Linked DNA regions of Schizosaccharomyces pombe. Changing the gene in region 1 together with any one later gene gives a genetic interaction. Each region holds a gene or a part of one and is shown in the gene's direction. Other genes may lie near its edges.

The links.
Region 2: mutations in rex3 (region 1) and nup61 together harm fitness more than expected from each alone (negative genetic interaction), as found in Schizosaccharomyces pombe (one large-scale study listed by BioGRID).
Region 3: mutations in rex3 (region 1) and nrm1 together harm fitness less than expected from each alone (positive genetic interaction), as found in Schizosaccharomyces pombe (one large-scale study listed by BioGRID).

The regions. Positions count from the first base shown.
Region 1 is NC_003424.3:4,760,801-4,771,717, reverse strand, and holds rex3 (exonuclease Rex3), read left to right. Parts: upstream 1-1,918; 5' UTR 1,919-2,188; coding exon 2,189-3,811; downstream 3,812-10,917. Other genes in the region: Cdc14 family protein phosphatase Clp1, read left to right, coding at 59-107, 163-1,727; qcr8 (ubiquinol-cytochrome-c reductase complex subunit 7), read right to left, coding at 3,993-4,007, 4,111-4,324, 4,370-4,387, 4,577-4,608; prohibitin Phb1, read left to right, coding at 4,904-5,752; ypa2 (serine/threonine-protein phosphatase 2A activator 2), read right to left, coding at 6,211-7,269; cox24 (mitochondrial 37S ribosomal protein mS38 ), read right to left, coding at 8,070-8,440, 8,483-8,639; splicing-associated factor Saf3, read right to left, coding at 8,844-9,911; SPOM_SPAC1782.02C (uncharacterized protein), read left to right, coding at 10,832-10,917. UniProt on the Schizosaccharomyces pombe protein: 3' to 5' exoribonuclease required for proper 3' end maturation of MRP RNA and of the U5L snRNA.
Region 2 is NC_003421.2:728,419-737,775, reverse strand, and holds nup61 (nucleoporin Nup61), read left to right. Parts: upstream 1-4,534; 5' UTR 4,535-4,554; coding exon 4,555-4,673; exon of another isoform or gene 4,674-4,725; coding exon 4,726-5,024; exon of another isoform or gene 5,025-5,072; coding exon 5,073-6,304; 3' UTR 6,305-6,905; downstream 6,906-9,357. Other genes in the region: protein Thc1, read left to right, coding at 1-256; ism1 (isoleucine--tRNA (Ile) ligase), read left to right, coding at 1,434-4,355; dom34 (translation release factor eRF1 family protein), read right to left, coding at 7,254-7,886, 7,935-8,041, 8,098-8,396, 8,457-8,510, 8,564-8,643. UniProt on the Schizosaccharomyces pombe protein: Functions as a component of the nuclear pore complex (NPC).
Region 3 is NC_003423.3:4,281,679-4,288,253, forward strand, and holds the start of nrm1 (protein nrm1), read left to right. Parts: upstream 1-4,265; 5' UTR 4,266-4,363; coding exon 4,364-5,392; 3' UTR 5,393-5,682; coding exon of another isoform or gene 5,683-6,550; 3' UTR 6,551-6,575. Other genes in the region: Hrd1 ubiquitin ligase complex subunit Ufd1, read left to right, coding at 476-478, 526-694, 875-907, 964-1,085, 1,134-1,835; oga1 (protein stm1), read left to right, coding at 2,260-2,277, 2,546-2,919, 2,982-3,444; tad1 (tRNA specific adenosine deaminase), read right to left, coding at 5,683-6,550. UniProt on the Schizosaccharomyces pombe protein: Negative regulatory component of the MBF complex involved in cell-cycle-dependent transcription.

The DNA.
Region 1 (10,917 bases):
TAGAACTCAACCATTACGGGTTTGACGAATATAGACGAGATTCGCAATTACTTGTCTGATGGATTACCAAGATGATGGGCTTGGTGAAATGATTGAGTTTTTGGAGGGTATGCATGAAGTTTAACTCAAATATCTCGTAAAATTGATTAACATGTTAAATAGACAAGTTATACTACACATCATTGTCGCAACCACCTAAAGCCGAGTTATATCCTCATATGCATTTTTTTACTATCGATGATGAATTGATCTACAACCCTTTTTATCATGACTTTGGTCCGCTGAACGTGAGTCATCTTATTAGATTTGCAGTGATAGTTCATGGTATCATGGGAAAACACAGACAAGCTAAGAAAAGCAAGGCTATAGTTTTATATTCTTCTACAGATACAAGGTTGCGTGCAAATGCCGCTTGTTTGTTAGCTTGCTACATGGTGTTAGTACAAAACTGGCCTCCACATCTCGCATTAGCCCCTTTAGCTCAGGCAGAACCTCCTTTTTTGGGGTTTAGAGATGCGGGATATGCTGTTTCAGATTACTATATCACGATTCAAGATTGTGTTTACGGACTGTGGAGAGCACGAGAGAGCAGCATACTAAATATACGTAATATCGATGTTCATGACTATGAAACTTATGAAAGAGTGGAGAATGGAGATTTTAATTGGATATCTCCTAAGTTTATAGCATTTGCAAGTCCTATTCAGGCTGGTTGGAATCATGCGAGCACACGTCCAAAGAAACTTCCTCAACCGTTTGCGATAGTTCTCGATTATTTCGTCGCTAATAAGGTCAAACTGATAGTTAGGCTTAATGGACCTCTTTACGATAAAAAGACTTTTGAAAATGTTGGAATTCGACATAAAGAGATGTATTTTGAGGATGGCACAGTTCCAGAGCTTTCTCTTGTCAAAGAGTTTATTGACCTTACCGAGGAAGTAGAAGAAGACGGTGTGATTGCTGTTCATTGCAAAGCAGGGCTCGGACGTACTGGATGCTTAATTGGCGCATATTTAATATACAAACATTGTTTTACTGCTAATGAAGTTATTGCTTACATGAGAATAATGCGTCCTGGAATGGTTGTAGGTCCACAACAGCATTGGTTACATATTAATCAAGTTCATTTCCGTGCATATTTTTACGAAAAGGCGATGGGAAGAGCAATCCAACAGGCCACCGCTGCGGAACCCTTAGCTACTCCTCCTCGCCATCCATTGAATGCTACGAATGGTACCTCTCAAAGCAATATCAGTACTCCTCTTCCAGAACCAACGCCTGGCCAACCGAGAAAAGTTTCTGGACATAATCCACCGTCGGCGAGACGTCTCCCTTCAGCGTCCTCTGTCAAATTTAATGAGAAACTTAAAAATGCTTCCAAGCAATCAATCCAAAATGAGAACAAAGCGTCATACAGTAGTTACGAAGATTCAGAAATACAAAATGATGATGAAACACGGACTGTTGGAACTCCAACTGAAACAATTTCAGTGGTTCGCTTGCGTCGCTCATCAAGTCAAAGCAATATCGAACCAAATGGAGTTCGTTCTCCGACATCCTCACCAACTGGTAGTCCAATTCGACGTACAAGTGGAAATAGGTGGTCTAGTGGGTCTAGTCATTCTAAAAAAAGTGCTCAGCGAAGTGTTAGCATGTCATCACTTAACAATACTTCTAATGGCCGTGTTGCTAAACCTAAGCCTTCTAAAAGCCGGCTAATTTCTTAATAAACCTGTAATTACTGGTTTAAATGGCAGTTTTTACATTCCTTTTTTTCATATAAACTAACTTTGAATTATACTGTGTCAACCCTGCATAATTTTTCATTAATTAACTTTACAAATATTCCCTGATTTAGCGCACCTTTGCGCGGTGGGGATCACCACCATTAATGTCTTAGCTATCCTTTTTGTTAACTAACATTCATATTTCTTTGGAAAAAACTTTGGCTTTTTGCAAGCCATGGTTAATGATTTTAATCGAGAAATTGTTTTGGTTATGATATAAAAAGTCTTTGTTTTTTATTACGAATTTCAAGATTTCGCCATTCTATTTTTGGCTGAAGAGGTTCTTTCGCGGGTGCATGGTATCTTTGTTCGTAGCGGTACATTTTATTATATTTTGCTTGAGAATTTTTATCTAAATTCCCAACGGAAATCTGCCTACTTGTTGTACCTAATTTGCTTCAATGTTTTCACCTTTGGGTCAGTTTAAGCACATAGTTTGTCCATTTCTACGAACTGGACGCAAATGTCAGTCTAGGAATTGTTTCTTTAGTCATGACTTTCAAAACTCAACAAAGATTTCACCACCTTATTCCGAAAATGTTGAAGGGTACCCAAAAGTTAAAATTGAAAAATCACTTCCTTACAAATACGATAATTGTAAACTGTCTATTTGTGTTCCAATAGTTACGACCTGTATCCCTTATCATTCGGTTGAAAATCTTAATTTCAACATTAGGCAAAATATATCCACCACTTTAAATTTGGAGAAGACAAATGATTCCATTAAAGAAACCAAGAATGAGAATTTTCGTATGGACGTACTAGAAACTTACAAATGCAAGCAGTTGAATCATCAAACGACGCATCTACCTACAAATACTGTATTAAAAAAGCGTTCTTTATTTAATGATGCCATTTCCATCGTTCCTAATAAGAAGAAGCAACTTGTATCAGCCATTAGTACTAATTCAGATTCTCAAGGAGCGTCTTCCAATATCATTCCTACTCCTAAATATGACTCCAACTCACCAGCTGGGCATGAACTGAGAAAACGAATGACACATTTGTTATATGAGTCTTACAAGGATTTAGGCTATTCCAATGCAGAAAGTAGTATGCTTGCTCTTCTCGATGAAAAAAATATTTGTGAAACTGCAAACAGTAAAATGATATACAGTTCCTCCTGCAAGTCTAAAATTTTATCTCTTAAGAAAGCTCCGAAGAAAAATGAAATACAAGGATCAACTCCTGATGAGAAACTTGAGTCACTTGTTCATTCGGAAGAAGAATTGATTCTATGGGGATATAATATTGGAGACGTTGCACCAGTAAACCCGCCAGATGAACTTCGTGAATGCGATCGATGTGGTACACGGTTTGCGGATCCTCGAGGACCATGTACATATCATTGGGGAAAACTGTTTCGTGAAAAGCAAGGGGGGGAGAAGATTCGTACATACACTTGCTGTGGTGTAAAAGAGGGCGATTCGTCTGGTTGTATTATAGAAGACAACCATGTGTTCAAATACCGACATCTTCCGTATCTTGCTAGCGTTCATCCATTTTCCTACTTACCAGACAGTACAAATAGCAAGCAATTAAGTCATTGCGCGTTAGATTGTGAACTATGCTACACTACGAACGGGATGGAATTGGCTCGTTTGACGGTGGTAGCAAAGGAAAGCATTATTATGGATGTGTTTATAAAGCCTAAAGGCAAAATTTTGAGTCTCAATACTCGATTTAGCGGGATACATGATGCCAAAGAATTAGAATCAGGAATTACCATGGATCAAATGTATATTAAAATAAAGGAACTTGGCATGAATAAAAATACAATTTTAATAGGACATGGTTTAGAAAACGATTTGAATGCGATGAGGCTTATTCACAAACGTGTCATAGATACTGCTCTTCTATTTACGCATGCCAGAGGCCCGCCGTTTAGATATTCCTTAAAATATTTGACTAAAAAATATCTGGGAACAACAATACAAACTTCTACACACGATAGCGAAGAAGACGCTGTTTCAGCATTACAACTTGTCTTTTATAAGACAAAATCAAATGAAAGTCAAAACTAAGAGTAATAATGTTTTCAAATTCAAGAGATAGATCATATCACAAAGTAATTTTGTTGGATATATAGATTTCTGATACTAAGCATAATGAGAGGAGAGAGATAGTAATTGTAAACCCAATAAGGAAAGGGTAGGGAAGAATTTTGTAAATCCTTCTACCAAAATGAATACTTCATTCTCATCATTATTCCTCCACCAACTAAACCACATATTAGTAAAATGACAATTATTGACACAATTTAGAAGTATAGAAAAATGCTGCAAACCATAGCTGCTTATCGATTCTTCAGTCATTAACTTACGTGTCTTCCATGTTTGGAATTGAGGAATTCATTACGCTCCTTCCCCCAACAGTAAATATAGTAAGCTATTCCAAACGGAATTGCTACGTATAGACCTTCAGTCATGACGCGACGAAACATATTTTGCGTAGAAGTTTTGAAGAAGCCGGCCATTGGTCTCTGTTGAAATGGGGAAAGGGAATATGTTATGATTCCTTTTTGTTTAGGTCCACCTCTTATTAAAGTAAGTAAAAATGTATCAAATTGTTATAGCACTTACAGATGGCCCCACCATCCTCTATTCATGTGTTAGTATAAATAAAAACGTTCAATGATATTCTCAGCAGCTATTTGAATGTATATAACTTCGCTGACGAAAATGGCTTTACGAAATAAACACCAATTGTGTCCACCGTCTCACGCTATAAGCGTCAAAGAAAAGTCATATAACCCATTATAAACAGAAACTGCTTTAAGTTGCACTTACAAATAAGTTTTTCCTCCAGCAGCACCACCCATTTTGTTAAAACAATAATATATTGATGATTGCCGTTACAAAGTCAGATGTTTGTTAAGGGTAAGTGTGCGGGTCTGCTAGACCAATAATAATTCAGACGTTTACAAATTCTTGGTTTTTTATTCAAGATTTTTATTTAGTTTTACTATTAAAATTCTAAATAATAAGATCATGTATTTATTAATCATGAATATAGATTTTCCTAGAGGTTGCAGTTAAGTCATACTTAGTCTTGCTCAAACGGACTTCCCTTTCAGTTTGGTCTTTTAGTCCAGCGCTCAACGTACTATTAAAGAGATGGCTGTAGTACTGGAGAGAGTTGCACGTTATGCAATACCAATAGGTATTGGATTTACTCTATTACAATCTTCGATTTACGATGTACCGGGGGGAAAAAGAGCAGTTTTGTTTGACCGTCTGTCGGGTGTGCAGAAACAGGTTGTTCAGGAGGGCACACACTTTTTGATTCCATGGTTACAAAAGGCAATTGTTTATGATGTACGCACACGTCCACGAAATATCGCAACTACTACGGGTAGTAAAGATTTACAGATGGTTTCTTTAACATTGCGTGTATTACACCGTCCCGAAGTTGGAATGCTTCCTCAAATTTACCAAAATTTAGGCTTAGATTATGATGAGCGTGTCTTACCTTCTATTGGAAACGAAATTTTAAAATCCGTAGTTGCTCAGTTTGATGCAGCAGAGCTCATTACTCAAAGAGAAGTAGTTTCTGCCAAAATTCGCCAAGAACTAGTTCAACGAGCTACCGAATTTGGAATTCGGTTGGAAGATGTATCCATTACTCATATGACTTTTGGAAAAGAATTTACGAAAGCCGTAGAGAGAAAACAAATTGCTCAACAAGAAGCCGAGCGTGCTAGATTTTTAGTAGAACAATCCGAACAAGAGCGACAAGCTAATGTTATTCGCGCTGAGGGTGAAGCAGAAGCGGCTGATATTGTTTCCAAAGCACTTGATAAAGCCGGTGGCGCTTTAATCCAAATTCGTCGTCTCGAGACAAGTAAAGAGGTGGCTACTGCACTTGCTAATAAAGGTGCACAGGTCACTTATCTTCCCTTTGGAGCTGGTTCTAATGCCCAAAGTTCCAGTGGTTCTGGGTTGCTTCTTAATGTAAATCCTTAATTCATTCCATGTATCTGCTTCTAGCAGCAAATTCATAAGGTTTATTCGAGCTCCCCTAAACATATCAGCTTTATCTTATTATCCCTTTAAAATTAAAGAGATGTTATATAAAAGTTGTACTTTTCCACGCATTATGATTTTGACAAATTTGGGTTCTTAACGAAAATAAATATTTCCAAATTTTTTTATTTCAGAACTCAAAATTATGATTTGTCACCTTATTTTTAAAACGACAATTATTTTGGGTTTTGTGCTGATGAAATGGCTATATTAATGCTGCTAAAATTAGGGTTGATTGTTTATGTAGAGTTTTTTTAGCATAATGAAATAAACAAATATGCTGTACTGTTGGTAATTTTATTGACTTTAGATATTACTTTTAAAGTAAACAGACAAATATGGGTATCGCATAAATTCGTGAAGATTCGTTAAAAACGCCTTTTTTCCCTCGAGAATTTTTAATCAAACGGAATCCTACTTCCATTATTTTTGGCAGCAGAGATCGCACTTGGTATCTTGATGCCACAACAGTCAGCATAATGAGAATGAACATGTGTCACCTCAGAATCATCACCGTCTTGGGGAGCAGGAGACATCCCAGGTGAAGCTGGGATTAAATGGCCAAAAAGATAGTGCTGCATTATAGGAAGTTTACCCAAAACTTCTGCTCTATACATTTTTATCATGCCTTCGTTGACTTTAGACCAAGTCTTTACGGCAGAAATATCGTCAATCATTGGAGAATGGAAACGTAGTGAAACAGAAGGCTTCAACTTATTTAAAAAGTAAACATAACCTAAGTACATATAATCAGCGCGACACATCTCCAAAATTTCTGGATCTCTAACATGTTTGGGACGCAAATATTTATGATTAACCAACTGAGCTGCACCAAACAAAAAAGGGAGGAAATGAAAATCATCTAATCCCCATACACCATGAGATCCTGCTGGTTCGAGAGTATAAAAAATTTGCAAAGACCTCATCAATTCAACATACTTAACAAAAACTCGAACGACCAATGCTGGATAATCATTTTTAGTAAAAATGCCTAGTTGCTTTAAAATTAGTAACCATGACATAAAGTAAAGTTCATGACCACTTCCATAATCTATTCGCTTTCTGTTTCCAAAGCTTTCATAAAAATATCGACCTGCCTCCATCGCCGCATTATGCTCAATTCCAAATACTTGGTGCAACTTTGGTGTTTCAATGTATACCTGATCGTAAAATGATTGAAATGCAGGATTGCCAAACCTCGACCCCATATTATCAATTGCAGGATTTTCCTGTTTAATTTCTCCAACTCGATCTAGTATATTTAATACATGCTCTATTGATGAGCTTTGCGGAATTGAAGCTGAAATAGGCTTGTCTTTCACAGCTTCGTCAAGATCACAAATAAACGAATCAATTAACTTATAAGCATCTCCTTCTTTAAATAATTTTAAGTCTTCATTGTCTAAAATTCGTCGGACAGGAACGAAACACCGGTTTTGCTCTTCTCTAGAAAGCATGTTGGCATAACTTGATCGGTTAAGACAAGATTAACAAAAGCCTTAAAAATTATACAGTTGGACGCTCTTCAATATTCCTTATGTTGTTATTTGTTATGTCAGTCGTCAGTACGTTACATTTCATTATTGTAATTAGCTATAATCAGTGAGAACATTTTTTAAAGAAAGAAATGTAGAAATTTTTTTTTTTTTTTTCAAAATTGTTTTAAGGAAATAATTTCGACTACTAAAGTTATTTTTCATACCAATGTGTTCTTTTATTCTATGTGTAAACAGATACAGTGTAATAAGCGTTTATTAATTGCTTGATATACAACAACATATTTATGATTCACATGAAGTGTACATGTCATTAATTCTAGCCATCGACAAATATTTAAAAATATAAAAAGGAAGGGCCAAAGATGGAGGTATTGTAATAGTACTAGACATGGGAAGCTAATTGATATGAAGGAGATAGCCGGCATAAACAAATAAGTGCTCCGCTTTTTGAAAATAGTTAAATAAACGCGGATTGTTTAATGATTTTATCGCAAGAAAAAAGCACCGACCTAATTGTCTCATACCGGAACATTAAAGGATAGAATATACATGAGAGAAAATGTATTCCTTGTTAAAAAAGCCTGAAGTAAACATTAAATGATTAAACGTTTCTTAAGAAAAGAGAGGTACTGATATCCAAGTTAAAAATAGAGACTCATAAATGCTTGCAGCCATTTTGAAAATGCTTGTTTACAGCTTAAACTCTCAATCCAACCAACCTAAAAATATAACCCGAGTAAAAATAAGTTCTAATAATCTCATTTTCCTAGACGTTTCCTAAGTGCTCGTTGTCGGCGTAAGCGCTTTTTGAACTTATGTTTATTCATTTTCAATTTTCTTTTTCGTTTGACACTGGTCAAATCTAAAGGTGTAATAGAAATCAGCTTATCACATATTTGTTCCCATACTTGAGTAGATATACGAGCGGGTTGAGTTTGAGTTACGGATCCAGATGCAGAGAATGATTGAGCATACAAATAGCCATCCTCTAAAGATAACACATATTCCTGGGGTTGATCTTCCTCATCCTGCGATTGCGAAACTTGTGTTTTGGACTCAACTTTAGGCACACATATTTGATTAGCTGACAAAGGTCGATATCCAGCAAAGAAATTTGCTTTTGCGATTTCTACGCAATGAAGTTAGAAATAGAAGTATTTAATTTACTTACGACGATATGAAACGTGTGAAGTTGTAGGAACCGTTGGTAGGTTATATTTCGACCCAACTTCGGGAGAAGCTGAAACATGCCAAATCGGTATGGGACTACGCAGTGAAAGGCCGTTTAAACCTTTTAATATTGTGGAAAGCGCACCTCTTCGTAACATGGGTGACCAAGGCGAAAAATGTGTTGTACTCTTTGCACTGCGGGAAGGTAAGAATTGGTATGCTTATGCTAAACACTTACAAAGAGGAAGGGTGGTGCACATTTGATATTAATTCAGAAGAATGTTGTATTTAAATATATATGTGATGTTAAATAAAATTAATGCTAAATGAAATACAAAATTGTCCTTATGTATATACAGATGTTAGGTACGTTTTCGCTTCGAGAGTGGGCTGTCAGAATGAAGTCCACCGAGACGATGCAAATTTTTTTGCAAGATTGGGTTTTTAGGATCATACCAAGCAGATCCTTCTTTTGTAGTATCTTCATTTGCCAAATGCGTCCAGCGTGTTTGGCCTGCCTTCGCAAAAAGATCTCCCCTAATTTGCATAGGTTTGGGTAATAAATCTTTATTAAGAACTTCCCCTTCTGTGGCTTCTGAATAATCTCTTTTACTCACAATATCTTCGTTTTGATAGAATGCACCCTTATGATAGTACTTTTGTAAGAACTGCATAGATGACTTTTTCTTTCCTCTCCGACTTGCTTCAGCGTCCTTCAAATCTTGGGCTTCGCGTTCCTCAGAATTCATTAATCTTCTTTCTTCAATTGCCATCTTTTCCCTTTCTAATTCCAGTGACTTTTCCTTGTCTCTCTTTTTCCTAAGCAAATGCCTTAATTTCCATAATTCATATTCACTTTGCGGATCAATTCCATCGGTATCATCGATATCATTTAATAATTCATTATTGTTTTTAGTTTCTTTCAATAGTAATTCCCGTTTTATAGTCTCTTCTAATATTTTTTGTGAAGTCACTTTTTTAAGCACCTCAGTATCTTCTTCATTGGCTTTTGCCCGATTTTTGATGACTTTACTAGTAAATTTTGGCGGAAGAAGAAGTGTCCGCCTTCTCAGCTCCATCTCATATTCCGAATCAGAAGAGTCTTCTTCTTCAGAACTAGATGCTGCAGAGTTAGATCCCCCTTCTGCCGATGATGCGTCAGTCTCATATTCTGAAGCAGAGTTATCAATTGTTTGGACTGGGTTAATGTTTTGGAAATTAGAAGACGTTTTGGTTTCAGATATTCCTTCTTTCTCGAATACTGGAGTAATAACATGTCTTGATGAAGAAATCGAGTTTTCTTGATCATGTGAATCGGAAACTTCTTCATAATCACTTTCAGAAGAAGACTCACTTTCCAGCCCTTCCAATCTACCAGAGCGATATCTTGAAATAGGTTTATGGGGTATCAACGGTGTATCTATTGGCATCTTGACAAACGCTTTTTATTAAATTGGTTGGCAAATTTCAATCAACCGGTAAAACAATATAAATATGAATTGGAAATTATATATCTATTATCTACCACCCAAGATAAAACTGTATATCTGATATAATAGATTGTATGTATGCAATTTGTGGTACGGTGCCACTTACAAAGAGGTTTCGGGGCACTTACCAATGCGAGAACAAATATCACAAGCACACATTCTAGTCAAATGAACGAGAATCCTGGCATAATTTATATTTAGCTGAAAGTTTGTAAAATTGAATTGCCTTTTGTAAAATACATCGTTTCAGTTTATGGTCAATGTAATGTATTTCCAAAAACAACCGTTGTCAACCCTTTGAGACCTTCATAAAAATTATTTAGATGCTACATACAATATATCCTTTGAAAATACCCTCCTATAATTAGTAAAAATGATGTACTTTTCAAGATCCTAAAATTCGTTGAAGTGGTTTTAAAAAATATAGAGTTCTTGACTTGAAATCTGTCAGCATCTCACTTTTTCATACCAAAATAACTTTGAAGAAATAAAACCAAACGTATACTTGTAATTTTGTTATATTGATTATATTTCTCAATTCAATTCACCTTCTAATTCTAAATACAGATAGCGAGCGCTGGCAACTAGCAACAATAGTGAAGTTAAGTTCAACTATCGTAATATAACCATTAATTGAGAGTACATACTTCCCAGAGCTTGATACTACCGTAAAATAGCAAAAATCAGGTGCATATAATTGGTGCGACGTTGAGAAAACAAAAGTACGAACGAAATATTCATCGAAACTCTCTACATTTTCTTTCCGAAAAAAACTTATTAGTTTTACATTCTCTTTCTAAACCACGGAGTACAGTCTCTAGAAGTTAATAGTTGCTCATTTGTCGTCTTCTGATTTCACGATGTTGTTCTCTTTTCGAGCGATAGTTCTTTTTTATTGTTGTATGCTAACATTTGCTGGCATTGGATTTTTATGGAATCCCAAGTT
Region 2 (9,357 bases), on another chromosome or scaffold:
ACTTTATCTTACAGAACGCGTTTTAAGAAGTTATTTTAAACAACCTGATCTAATTATTACTTGGAAGGATAGTATGAGAGCTTACCTGACATTTTCTTCGCCGCAGGAAGCTCAAAAGGCTTACTTAGATTCACTTCGTTGGGGCAGTCAACTGAATGCTATCATTAAACCATTCTACGGTTCGCACGATGAGGTACTTCGTTTATGTAAAAGGAAAAGAATTATTCCACTACAAAATTTCTTGACTTCAGGTTAAACAGATAAATTAGAACACAGCTTAAACTTACCGGAAAAATTAATCGCAATCCAACAACTTTTCGGACAGCCGAGTGTTTTATAAAATTTCGTTTGGCTAAAAACCTAATTTTAATCTTTTATTAACCCAACTGGTTTAAAATTGCAACTGTTAGTTGGCTTAACAATCTCGATTGATTTGAATGGCACGGGCTATTTCTTCTATTGCCTTTGTATAAATATCACTTTACTATTTTTATACAAATGGAAAATTTTTATCTGTTCTGTTGGTTGCTCGCGTTTTTGAAAATGCTATCTATTCAGTGTGTTTTAAAAGAGCTGTCAAACAAACGAAATTTCGAATGATCTGTAAGATGCTTAGATGATTATATTCTTGATATTATTTATTCATGGCTATCTAATGAGAATAAATCCCTTGGTTACTACTTTGTTATTTATATGGAAGATTTGGCTGCTGGATATTACGTTAGATATAATATTCATGACTTAAAAAAATAAAAAATAAAAACAATAGCTACTTTGGGTTCGAATACGTAAACTTAAAAAGCTGATACAATCACTAGAAAATAATAACCATAATAAATGCTCTTCTGTAAAATTTTCCTTTTAAAAGAAAAAACTATAGATATCTTTCATGAAAATGCTTGCCTTTACTTTTCATTAGCCGAACCATCTGTTACATCTATTCAAACATGCCCTTTGTTTAACCCAATTAGTCTCCAGATGTTTTTTTTTTCTCTGTTTAAGTAAAGCACAACGTCTAGGAGAACTATTTAATTAATGAGGAACCCTTAGTAGAAACTCGTATCTTGGTGCTTCAGAGAAAGATTGAGTAATGCTTCAATGATACAATGAAATAATGAGTTTTTTTACTTTTTCAGCTCTTAAATTCATATACTTTTTAAACAGTTATGTGATAAATCATTATTGATCCAAGGAAACATTCAGTCCAAATTTGCTGTCCACATGCTAGCTTCGTTTGTGTATAGTATTTGAAATAATGGCATTTCTATGCATTGGACCGGTTTTACGCCTTGGCACTTCAGACTACAGCTATAGTTACTACCAGTACAATATACGGAATTGGGACCGTACCCACGAGGTTACCAATTCCCAGTTTGGTCGACATTCATTCCTATATTCGTTTTATGCTCGGATTATAAGGAATCGTCGGACATATGAAATTTTCATATATAAGCAGTTTGCCGAAAGGCCATAACCACATTTGTTGTAAACAAGCAGGTAGGTTTCTCAGCAGTCAGGCGGATTTGAAGAAATATTCAGAATCACTATGCTTGCCAAAGACTTCGTTTCCTATTAAGCCAAACGTTAAAGGAAATAATGAAAAGTATTTCAAATCCATCACATCAGACCTGTATGAATGGCAGAAGGAGAATTTGAATAAAGAAGATTCTTTCGTGCTATTAGATGGGCCTCCGTTTGCAAACGGTCGACTGCATATAGGTCATGCTCTAAATAAGATTTTGAAGGATATCATCAATCGTTGGCAATTGCTGAAAGGCCGTTCTGTGCATTATGTTCCTGGTTGGGATTGTCATGGTTTACCAATCGAGTCAAAAGCTATTAAAGCAAACGCCGAGCGTAAAAGTTCTCTTGAAATTCGAAAGATTGCTAAAGATTTCGCAAATTCGGCCGTTCAAGAACAACTCATGATGTTCCAACGTATGGCTGTAATGGGAGATTGGCCTTCTAGGTACATCACCATGAGTGACAAATTTGAAATAGCAGAGCTTAAGGTTTTCTTAAGTTTGTTACAAAAGGATCTTATATTTCGTCAAAATAAACCTGTTTATTGGAGCTCTTCAAGCAGGTCCGCTTTAGCTGAATCAGAAATAGAATATGATGATAATCACGTCAGCACGTCTATCTACTTTACGTTTCCGGTGAACAGTTTTTCTATCGATGGATGTGAATACAATAATGTAAAGGCATTAGTTTGGACAACAACTCCCTGGACCATTCCTTCAAACCTTGCATTATCTTACCACCCTGAAATCAACTATGGTCTATACCAGCACAATAATTCGATTTATTTAATGTCTGATAATTTAGTTCCAAACTTGGATTTTATGCAGGGAGCTAAGCGTCTTGCGAGTTGCCCTTCAGATATTATTTCATCATTTACATATGAGAACCCTCTATTACCGAAGCAAAGCTTTCCATTTTTACAATCTAACTACGTTACTAATGATATCGGTACTGGTATAGTACATGTCGCTCCTGGCCATGGAATGGAAGATTATCTTCTAGGACTGGAAAACAATTTGCGTCCTTTTTCACCACTCGATGATTATGGTCGATACACTAAAGAAGCTTTGGATGGAAGCCTTGAAGGATTGGAAGTTCTTGGTGATGGAGGAAAGAAAGTAATAAGTATTATGAAAAATCAAAATATGATTGTTAAGGTCTCTCCTTATAAGCACCGCTACCCTTACGATTGGCGAACACATAAGCCATTAATTTTACGGGCGACCCCTCAATGGTTTATATCATTGGAGAATGAAAGGAAAACTGCCATAAAAGCACTTGATAGTGTAAAAATGATTCCTCCAAATTCGCGCGCCAGACTTCTTGGTTTTTTGAATGGCCGTCCTGAATGGTGCATTTCTCGCCAACGGGCATGGGGTTTACCCATTCCTGTATTGTATGAGAAAGGAACTAAAATCCCCCTACTAACTGTGAAAAGTGTATCCTATATCATTGAGAAAATGGAAGTAGAGGGAGTTGATTCTTGGTTTAATGATACTGAAAACAATGGGCATGCTCAGTGGGTTCATCCGGATTACAGAAATAAGGAGTATATTCGTGGCACTGAAACACTTGATGTATGGTTTGATTCTGGGACTAGTTGGACTACAATAGCACCTCGTAAGAATAAACCGCTCATTGACCTTTGCTTGGAAGGAAGCGATCAACACAGGGGATGGTTTCAGTCACTTCTTCTCACATACACTGCCTACCAATCAAAACCAGAAGCACCGTTTTCTACTTTGTTTACGCACGGATTTATCTTTGATGAAAGAGGTCAGAAACAATCCAAGTCTTTGGGCAATGTAACCGACCCTGAAGATGTAATAAACGGAAAGCTTTTAAAAGGAAAAAAGCTTCCATATGGTGTTGATTTACTGAGACTTTGGGTTGCATCATGTGACAGTACGAATGATACTAACCTGGGACCGAACATTTTGACGCAAGTTGGTGAATCCTTAAAAAAGTGGAGATTAACATCCCGATTTTGTCTTGGGAACTTACATGACTGGAATACCTCGAGCTCAGTTGATGTTGGTGAATTACGTGGTATTGATAAGTTGGCTTTAGTCCAACTAGATAAATTTCAGACTGAAATTCGAGAACTTTATGAATCATATTCAATTAACAAAGTTGTTCATCATCTCAATTATTTTATGAACTCTTTCTTATCCTCTACATACTTTGACGCCGTAAAGGATCGTCTGTACGCTGATTTACCCAACAGTGTATCTAGGAGAAGTGTTCAAACTGTCCTTTATCATTCATTACTTACGCTCATTTGGGCCATTTCTCCCATTACTCCACTTTTGGCACAGGAGATTTGGCAAAGCTTACCCGATAGTTATTTGAATTCTTCTTACCAAACTCCTTTTCACGCTGGAGAAACACATCTTATAAGCAGCTTAAGGTCAAAAGTTGATTTACTTGATAGAAAATTTTTAATTAAGGAATACTTGGTTCTTCAACAACTTAAGTATAGTATTAATTTGTTGATTACCGCAGCTCGTGAAAATCTAACTATTAAAAACTCATTAGAAGCTTATGTCGTTATTAAGTCAAAATCTCAATCTTTATTGAGTTTTTTAAAAAATTACTCTTCCGACCTTCCTTTTCTGTTCAATACATCGAAGGTATTTATTAACGAAATTCCCGAAAATCTGAAATTAGCTTCCGTTACACAACCTGAAGTTCAGTTGGATTATGGGGTTGCAAATATCTCTTTATTTTTTTCAAATCAACAAAAATGTCTACGTTGCTGGATGCATACAGCTCATGAGGACGGATTATGTGACAGATGCGAATCTGTTTTGGCCCAACTGAAACGCTAAGAAAAAAGCTGAACGCTCTTTATTATGATAATTTTTGTACCATAGTCATTTATTTTTGTAATACTTAATTAAAATCAAGCGACAATTCATTTTTTGTATTATTTTATTTTACTGTAACATTAGTAAATAAGGAGACATAGTGAAGGCCATAAGTTTGGGTGGTTTTGGGGCTAACAGTTGACCTTCGCAAACTAGCAAAATGTCAAAACGCGGTGCTGATCATCAGTTAACTAAGGATCAAGATGATTCTGATGATGACCGTCATGGTCCAGTTGAAGTTCCTAAGGAGGCCTCCGCAGACGTGATGGCCACAAGAAAGTATGTAACGATGAAACATAGTTCTTCAATTTTTTAGGTACTAATGTATTAGAATTGCAAAGCCAAAATCTAGAAAAAGACCAACGAGCGGTGTTTCTTCTCCGGGAATTTTTGCAAATTTGGCAGCAAAACCGGTGTCTTTACCTGCATCGACTACGCAATTTACATTTGGAAAACCCGCGGTTACAGCTAATAATGATTCAGATATTCACTTGAAAAAACGCGGTCTTAATAAATCATTTATTGACGCTGTTATCAAAAGTGTTGACAATAATCCCTTTGGTAATTTGAGCCCTCTGTTTGATGAATACAGGCAGCATTTTTCAAGTATAGAAAAAAAGCCAGCAGAAGGTAATGCGTTTATAGTTAGTACTTCATTTCTTTCTAACGTTTTCTTAGAACAACCAACTTCAAATGCTGTTGTGTCTGAGGTAAATCCTCAGCAACAAAAAAGCCAAGATTCTTCTTCTTTTGTTACAGAAAAACCAGCTTCTTCAGAAAAAGAGGATAAGGAGAAGCCCCTTGTTCCCCCCGGTGCTCCTAGGTTCGGATTTTCTGCTCCAGCGCTTGGTAGCTCTTTCCAGTTTAATTCATCGGCTTTTACTCCTAAAGGGTCATTTGGTGAGAAGTCCGCAACAGAAGCGGAAGCGAAGGAGAAAGAAACATCTTCTAATCAAACTGCCACTGGTACTGCCGCTACCACAACCAACCAGTTTTCATTCAATACTGCCGCTAATCCTTTCGCTTTCGCTAAGAAGGAAAATGAGGAATCAAAACCATTAACTCCCGTGTTTTCTTTCTCAACGACTATGGCTTCTGCGGATGCTTCAAAAGAGACCAAACAAACCCATGAAACTAAAGATTCAAAGAGCGAAGAATCTAAACCCTCGAACAATGAAAAATCCGAGAACGCCGTTGAACCTGCCAAGGGAAATACTATGAGTTTTTCTTGGACTCCTGATAAGCCTATCAAATTTGACACACCTGAGAAAAAATTTACATTTACCAATCCATTATCGAGCAAAAAGTTACCGGCCTCTTCGGATGTGAAGCCTCCTAGCGCTGCGGCTGTCGGCTTTTCATTTGGAACTACTACTAATCCGTTCTCTTTTGCTGCTCCGAAATCTTCTTTTCCTACTTCTTCTACTCCAGCTTCTGTTGGCGCTGAAAAAAGTGAAGAAACTTCTAATGGAAACAAATCAGAGCAAGAAGAAAAGGAAAACGGAAATGATGAAACTCGATCGAATGATTCTCTAGTTTCTGGTAAAGGAAAAGGCGAAGAAAATGAAGACAGCGTATTTGAGACAAGGGCCAAGATATACCGTTTCGATGCTACTAGTAAATCTTATTCTGATATCGGGATTGGTCCATTAAAAATTAACGTAGATCGTGACACTGGCTCTGCTCGCATCCTTGCGCGTGTCGAGGGAAGTGGAAAACTTTTGTTAAACGTTCGTTTGTGCCAGGATTTTGAATACAGCCTGGCTGGTAAAAAGGACGTAAAAGTACCTGCTGCTTCTACTGATGGAAAATCAATTGAAATGTATTTGATTCGTGTGAAAGAGCCTAGTACTGCGGAAAAGTTATTAGCCGAATTGAATGAGAAAAAGGTCTCAAAGTCAGAGAACTAGAAAGCAGTGATTGATTCAGTCACTATTTATTCCTTTATTTTTGGTCTATTAAATGTACATAAATCTAATAAATTTTTCGGAAATATATTGTCAAGATTATCAATTTAATACTGTCATTCGATTTTCATTTGTGGATAGGGATATACACAATCAGTCTTTTACGAAATGTGCATACAAATATGAAATTCCCGGAAGCATACATGCTCTCCAAGTACATTGCCTTTATGGAATATTAAATTGGTTAAGCTAGTCATATCTTTTCTTTTTAAATTTACGCAGAACATCAAAGTTTTACGGAACTGATTTAATTATCCTAATTTTCATCTTATGAATGATTGATAAATTTTTGAGTGAATTTTAAAACTGTTGTATATCGCCAGTGATATATCTTGAATTGATTGATTCAATAATCGGTTTCGTTATTAAATTACTTTTGTCTATATATTGGTTCCGGATTTTCAAACACCTGCCTAGCTTTTAGAAGGGTCAAACCCCCTTATTGAATAAGTATCTTGGCGCGAACTTTTAATAAAATAAGCAAGTAAATGAGCCACTATCAATTTCGAATTGTTAGTTTTTTGAAAAAAGTAACTTCAACAAATACGTTTGTAGCGAATTTATCGCTTAAAGTTGATTTTTTTACTGTAATTGAATACTGTATTGGACCGGCTATAATTAACAGCTTAATTTTACAAGTTAAGAGTTATAATCGATAAGTATAAATCATTTTAGGGTATCAATTTTTGACCATTCTAACACCTAATTTTTTGCATGTTTATCATAGTAAATACCCTAAAACATCCAAGTAAAAGCATAAATAATGACTACCAAAACGAGCCCATAAATAAATTTTTTAAGAGAATGAAACAAATTGTTCTAACCGAGCTTAAAGTATGAAATATTGGCTTAGCAATAATTAGATTCATGACAATTCGGATACTGATGAACTTTAACTATGTTCAAAATTTTGGGATTCCTCATCCTCTTCATCTTCTGATATATCCTCTTCATCGACTGGGTAAGTGAGAATGGCGGCAATACCTGACAACAGATCCAGCTGCTTCCCTGACTCATGCAAACTACTGAAAATATAAACAGGACAGTTAATCTCCTTAACACCTTCTACTAATGAAACCCATTTTTTTCTAGTAGCAATGTCAGAACTCCTGAACAGAGAATCGCTAATCAGAAGTTCTCCGATCGCGCCAAGTTCAAAAGCCTTCAAAACATGATTTGGACCATACCATGCCTTTCTATCATCTTCATTCATGACATCGTAAAATTTATTCAGAACGCGAATTTCTTGTACGTATTTTGTGTCGGCTAGTTTTGATTCAACAGCAGGGTCCTTCAAAATTTCATTAAGGGAATGAATATGACCAGTGCTAGAATGAAGGATGACAAATTTATTCTTTGATTTAACAATTTGTTTCAAGTCTAACTTCACGGCCATGCTGAATATGTAGTCATACAAGCCTCGAGCCACAAATCCTGGTGAAGCAAGAATAACGACTTTCAATTTATCAAAATCAAATTCTGAGTTAATGGATTGAAAAACAGAGTCATAAAATTTATCAAGGCCCTAAAAAATTGATCAGTACGGACGAAAAATCAAAGTCTAAAAATTTACCTTTTGGTAAGCGCTGCTGTCCCCTCTCCGTTTCCTTGGAATCACTTGATCAATCCTTTGACGCAGGATGGTCATATAATCTGTAATGAGACAAATATTGGCAAGACCTGCAAGTCAGTAAACATGCACGAACTAATAAAGCGATGTAAGCCAAGAAATTTACCTTCATCTAAAACCACAGCACCTATTTCAGCATTTCTTGAAGGATTACAAGCAGCATCTACACGGTCCAATGCAAATGCATCCCATTCATTTTTATATAGAGTAAAATTGCGATGTAGTTCTAAGTCCAAGGTATGGTAGGATCCCATCTTAACTTCAGGATGGTATTCAGTTGTCCGTCCTTTGATGTGCAATTGAGCAGCCTTTGTATCAAAGTCCATATTCTCAACTAAAATACGTAGTTTCATCACAACTCTTGAACCTGACGTACTTCCTGTAGCGCCAACTTTCACTACACGACTAAACAACAGAAAAAACAGGTGTTATTATCGAACATTGAAGATACACTTTATTTCATACCGAACTGTAGAAGCCTTCAGCTGATCTCCAACTTGAAGAATATTATACAAATGCCTAAACTAAGTTAGTTTGTGCATTGATTGCAGATATACAGCAACCAGGCATACCACATATCTTCTGGCTCTTCAGGGCACATGGTTATCCATCCGGAGCCATTTTTTTCGATGTTTTTTTGAATCAACTTCATATTGAATGTGGTTGACGAAGAATTTAAGTGAACAGGAATTTTTTAGGCTATTTTGACTGACATAATATCTCGAAATTTTATTCTATATAATTATCCTTTTTATAGTAATAATTGTTCAAGTCATAAATATGAGTTCTTGACAAAAGTATTTTGCTAACGAGGTAGTGGTATTAATACTTATTGCCATAGATAGTCGTGTATATGAGCAAACTGTACAACAATTTGAGTTGGCCATATACAAATTCATATTCTTTCATTTACTAATAACCACCCAAACTAGTTAAAATGCCTTAAAATTTTTCTCTAAATGGGTTTGCTCGGCATTCCAAACTGATTAATACTTAAACTCCTGGAAAAGACCATAAAAGACTTTCTTCAATTAAAAAAAATTTTATTTAAAAAAATTTCTTCAATTTACGTTGAAAACTGTGATATACCAATGTTCACCATACACGAGGTATCATGGAAGGAATAGAATATCGTTATTAAACACATTTCATGGTATCGGAGTTGGGGCATATTTTTTTAAATTTGCTTCGTAAATTCATGTAAACAAACTTTGGAATCAAAATCCATTGTGCCAACGGCATTTCCAATTTATTTCTTCTAATATTTCTTGAACATTTACTTAGTCGGACTAGTCGCTTATCTTACCTTTATTTTAACGTAAAATTAAGCGAATACTCAAATCCGCTTAAGCAAAAATTATTACCT
Region 3 (6,575 bases), on another chromosome or scaffold:
ACCAACAATTTCTGGTCTAAAGAACTAGCACAACTTTTGTCACAAATTATTCAAGAAACCCACGGTCCTTGTTGAGCTACTATAATCAACTGATCAACTGACAACATTTAAGAATATGACCCAATTTTACAACGTATCTATCCAAAACTACACTGTAAAGCTTAACGAGAATTGCACTGATATTTCATGAAATATCAAGATAGTACAGCTATGCTTCACATATGGTAGGCTCAGATAACATATTACAAGGTACTATTTTATAAACAGTTAAAGACCTTGAGGAACCTCCTTAAATTTCGTAAACTAACTTCTTGCCTTGGTCCCAAATAGTGGCATTTGCGTCAACGAATGCTGTACATAGCCAAATTCTTTCAGTCATCAAGTGTATTTTGCTTGCACTACAACATTTACGTTGCATTATAAAAAATTGGGAGAACCATAGTTACTCTTTCCTTTTTTCGCAAAAAAAGCAAATATGGTATGGTTTTTTTAGAGAATGCGTACGTTGACTTACTCACGTATTAGTTTGGCGGCAGCTTTTTCTCAAGCGACGATGATGGTTTCTCCATGATGTCTCAACTTCGGTCAGCTTTTCATAATAATGTAAATCAGCGATTTGATACTCGTTACCGCTGTTATCCTGTTGCCATGATTCCTGGTGAGGAACGGCCAAATGTCAATTATGGTGGGAAAGGTAAGGTTTGAAAATACTTTTAAGTTTTCACATTGTTGGAGATTTGATTTTATATACTCATGAAGTTCATGTGATTTTATCTTTGAGCGCTTGCTTGCGCATTTGCTTATGGTTAACATTCTCTGCTCAATATTTTTTATATTGTTATTGGGGATTATTAGTATTAACAACTACGTCTAGTAATATTACCACCTTCAGCTTTAGAAAAACTATGTACGTAATGCGAAGAGAATTTATTAAGCCTTTTAAATCTGTTAATTAACTATTAGCACGCCTGAATGTCAGTTATCCCATGCTTTTTGACTTTGAAAACGAAGCTGCAGAGAAAAAAACTCATGGGGGTGTGTTAGAATTTATTGCGGAAGAGGGACGTGTCTACCTGCCTTATTGGGTATGAAAAAATTTAAAGACTGTCAGAAATGTACTAACTAGGGCACAGATGATGACTACACTTAGCCTTGAGCCTGGAGATTTGGTTCGAGTTATAAATACTGATATAGCACAGGGCAGCTATGTCAAATTACAGCCTCAAAGCGTGAATTTTCTTGATATCACGGACCACAGAGCGGTATTGGAAAATGCGCTTAGGAATTTCAGTACGCTTACAAAATCTGATATATTTGAGATTTTGTATAACGACCAGGTATATCAAATAAAAGTTATAGATGTTCAACCTGATGACTCCCGCCATGTTGTCTCAGTGGTAGAAACCGATTTGGTAGTTGATTTTGATCCCCCCATCGGTTATGAAGAAAGTTTGCAAAAAAACAAGCAGCAAAATATTGCTGGCGTTCAAGGAACGATGGTTACCAAGATTGGTTACGATGAGCTGGTGAGGCAGGGCGATTCGAATTTGATGAAGGGAACAGGGACTAAACTAAATGGTAAAGAAGTTGCTGAAGTGCCTAAAATAAATTTGCTCGATGTTGAGAAACAAGAATGTCCTGCTCCGTTGATCCTACCATTGGGTACATACTTCTTTGGGTATCCTTATAAAGCACCCTCTATTGAAGAAGATTCTAAGAAAGACCCCAATTTATTTAAGTTTGAAGGTGCCGGTACATCTCTACGTGCCTCTCGCAAAACAAATGGAACAATGGGAAAAGGTTCCTCTGATGACCCAATCGATATTGATGCTTAATGTTAATCGTCTCAAGTTATTACTTGGTTGGATTTAGTTTATAACGATTTTAGTACCAGTCTTTTTACATTGAATGAATTAATTTATTATTTGTTTCAAAATATAATGTAATTAATTCTTACTTAGACTGCCTAGCTTTTTTTTACCAGTAGTATATTTCTTAATAAAACTTATTTTAATGCTAAAGAAATGAATGATTCGATAAAACGAATATTGACAATTGTAAGCCAAGTGCTTCCGATATCATAGAAAAAAGACAGGCATTGTGTTGAATAACTGTAATTTTAAGATAGCCTTAGGTATTACCGTAAGATGATGGACAAAGCACATCATTTGTTTCAACCTACCCTAAGTTTGAGTGACTGCTTTTTGGATGACTGTAGTTGTGTAACTGAACACACACAATTAACTTTCCAGCTTCCAAATGTCTGTTGCATCCAAGGTATGATTTAAACATTTTATCATTAAACGATTATTTTAAGGGTTAGGAAATGAACGAACTGGTAATTATTTGTAGCATGTTTTAGGGCTGTGTTTAAGGTTTCATTACTGCGACCCGAATGAAATACTTTATAGAAGTATAGCCTGTATAAAGACGCTCAAGTATTAAAAAATATAAATTCACATTTCGTTCATTATTCTTTAGAGTGTTAGCTCTGCAGACTCTGCTGATTTTTATTTTGTTTTCGCAAGTAGTAACCAAATTATAGAACCTCTTTGACCTCCTCGGAGAGGAGACTCCCGCAGCTACTACTACCGAGAAGAAAACCGCTGCTTCTCGTGACAAAAAGCGCTCCGACAGCCCTCCTGTCCCCCGCGAATTAGTCGCTCAAAGCACCACCTCTAGGAAGCGTGACCCTAACCAACCCACTCCTCGTGAGCGTACCGTTAATAAGAAGGCAGACCAACCTCGCAGACGCCGTCAAGCTCCTCAAGGAAACGAAGCCTTTGCTCGTGAAGGCAAAGAAGCTCGTGCTAACAACGCTGCCCATCCTGTGGATGCCACTGGCGCCCCCTCCAACCGCCGCAATGCTCGTGCTCGCCGTGGTCGTGAATTTGACCGCCATAGCCAAACTGGTAGAGTGTATGTGTTTTATTTTTCTACATGTGAATGCCAAATTATATAATTGCTAACCATTATTTTAGTGATACCAAGAAGGCTACTGAACGTGGCTGGGGTGATCTCGTAAACTCTGCTGCTAACCCTGATGTTGCAGAGAACGAAGGTAACACTCCCTCTGGAGCCCAAACTCCTGCTGCCGAGGAGGAAAATGTTAAGACTCTTGATGAATATCTGTCTGAACGCAAGTCCGCCGCAAAGCCTGTTGGTCGTACTGTTGAGAAACTTGAAAACGCTACTAAGGTCGAGAAGAGTGCCCCCGAAGAATTGTTTGCCTCTCTTAAGAAGAGCGCTTCTCAAAAGAAGTCTGCTGCCAAGGAAAGCAAGCCAAAGAAGGTTCTTCTTGATATCGAGCAAACTTTTACTGCTCGTCCTGCTCGCGGTGGCCGTCCTAACCGTGCTCCCCGTCGTGGTCCTTCAGAAACTGCCTCAAAAACCCAACAGGCACCTCCCACCCTTTCTGAGACTGACTTTCCCGCTCTTGCATAGATGAACTGGTGACTTGAGAGTAGCCTATTGATGTGGAGCGTTTGATTGGTCTTGGATGAAATTTCGTTGTCAAGCGTATGTGGAAAGGTGTGTGTTATCTTACAGATCCCTTTTTGTTTATTTTCCATTGAGCATCATTCGGGTTTCTAGGTTATTCAGTGATTCTTATCATTAAAGCGGTCTAAGGTGTATTCTGTGGTTGCATTCCCTTTTTTGATCCACATTTTGCGATGAATTGACTAAATATTTTTCAAAATGGTCGAATACTAGTGTGTAAAAAAAATTTCATTCTCGTATCTATTCACAACTAATATTAAGAAGATGCGCGTTTAAATCGTCTACCGACTGTTATCTTGATATAACGTATCTTATTTTTAATCTGTAAATATCAGCCTTAGTAATTGTGTACATAACAAAAGCATATTTCAGTGTACGGTAGGTCTGCCTGTGCAATTCACAAATACTCCATTTATTATTCCAATTGATTTTGTCATTTTCAAATGTCGTTTGCAGGGATATTGAAACGGACGTTGAATAAAGCCTTCTTAACCTTGTAAAATGACTATAGGAAAGTTATGAACGAGTTTGTGTATCGGTAACATAACAGGTAAATCACTCTTCATAATGCAAATTGCGGTTTACTTTTTATAGCATCATTTTTGATAGCTATTTAAAAAATTTGAAAGTTAATATAATTAATAAACTCGAGGATATGAGCAAACTGATAAAACGCGCTATATCGCGAATTCGCGCTTTAAAGGGCGTCGCGTCGCGTTGCGTTGGACACCGCTTATATACGTGCCACAAGTACGCAACAATCGACGAGTCGCAAAAAAACTGTCTCTGATTATTACTTTTCCTTCTGATTCTCTGCTACTAGGAATCTTTATATTGGTTTCCGTTTAGAAAAAATAACAAGATGGATAGGTCAATGGAACCATTGACCCCATCTCGTTTAAACACTTTGGGGGAAAGGCCAACAAACGAAGTGTATGAGTATGGAAAAGGAAAAAATGTGCAACATTTATTTCCTATAACACCGATGCAGAGACCATTAGGAAAAGAGAATGCGGCTCCAGGGACGATTTCACCGATTGCGGTTCGATCTCGAAATGTGCGTGCAGTAGAAATTGCAGATGAAAATGCATGTGAAGAGCCAGTCTTAAAAATAAAATCTGTTAGTAGTACGGAGAGTGAAGAGGAAAAAGAATCTTCTACTGAGATAGGAGAGAAACAGGAAAAAGAAACACATTTAGAACCCAAGACACCAGTACAAACCAATACCAACAATAATCACTTAGACGACATTCAGTGTTGTGCTAAAAACTTACGCTTACGTCTTGAATTGGCTATGTATAAAGTACAAGTTAATCAAACATTTTCCCCTCTGCAAGATCTTCCCATTGTCGCTAAAACGAAGCTTCACAATTGTCCAAACTCTGAACCTGTTACCTCCATATGGAACCAGAGATCGCTTTCTTCTGGAAAGCCTCCGTCCTTACATCTTTCAGGGAATCGCAGGCTTTCCATGGGATCTCCCACGAAGTCGATATATGATCAGAATGGTTTGACAACGCCAAGACCGATCGGTTCTGATGATCTAACACATATGTATGATCCTTATACCTCTCCTTTACGCACCCCTTCTCGTACGCTATCACGCTCCTCCTCTCATTATCTGTGGGTTCGTCATGGTAAATTGACACGTAGCGTATCTCTTTTACAACATAAAACGCCTAGACGCATTCGGCCAAAATCACTTTCTAAAAGCAATTCTACACCGTTAAAGCATTTAAGCGCTCAGAAACCAAATTCAAATTACTATACTGGCCCGCCTACTCCAGTATCCATATCCAACACTCCAGAAAACATTCATCCATCATCTTCCGAAGTAAGGCGTATTGCAAGTCACAGCAAGCAATTTTCAGACTATGGTTTAATTCGATGATCCTTCTTTTTACATTTTAAACCGAGTTATGGAATAATGTTATGAGATGATTTTTATAATACTTTAATTACTCTAGTTGTCGTTCATTTCCTTTCTGACAGATTTCTATATGTGAATTATTTTGAAATGCAAAAAATAACTTTTAATTCCTCGCAACACGTTCTTTTATTTCTTACTTGTTATGTAACAAGTCAGTCGTTAATAAAATTATTATCGCTGGTAAAGCCATCCTTCGTTTTATTTAATGCCTTAATTCATACGTACATCTTATATTGAGGTTTCTAGATTTCTTATATCCATTGAAATTCGTTCCCTCCGTTTGGGATCCAGTTTTTTAAGATATTACGAAGAATTTGCTTTTGCTGGCAACGTTTGATGTTGAGTTTCTTCCATTCATAATAGTTTTTTTCATTAGTCAACGATTGACTTAATTGATGCAGCAAATTCATCATACTCTTTCTACATATTAATGTTTGAGACTTTTCAACGTCTTTAGCTTTTGTTCCCGCTTTAATACCATTATGTATCACTTGAGTACACTGCATTTTATCACCGATCCATATCAAAACGTTTGTACTAGTTGCAGTTTTTTCTGCTTGGTTCAACGGCCGTGAATATAAAAAATTTTCATCCGTTTCCAGCACGGTAAAAGGATGAAAGTAATAAGGATTATCCTTTTCTCCAAATTCAGCAAGTGGTGCGCACCGACCAAAGGGTCCAAATGCTCTGTCAATTGCTGATTTAACTATCACTTTTTTATAAAGCACTACACATGATAAATAGATGGGCTCACAAATGAGGCTGGTCTGGGAATTCAAAATAGAAAGATATTGTTTTGCAGCTAATTTATCAGTACAGCTTTTGCTCCAGCTTACTGGGGCATCAGGTCTCCCCGGTTTAGTACGCACGATTCCAAGTAGTCCAAAATCCGCCCTCCCACGCATTAATTTCTCTGAATCAACTGTTAAGTTCCATGGTTTGTTGTTTTCCAAGCGGCTAGCTAGTAGCTCCATACTCGCATCTCCGCAAGGACATTCGGAAACGTACAGATGTATCAGAAGATTGCTGTTTAGAGTAAATTTACCATTATCAGCAACTTCAAGAAGCCACGTATCTTTCTTTGATTCTTTAATTAAAATACAATGTTCGAGAAGTAATCTTAATTCTTTTATTAGTAACGAAT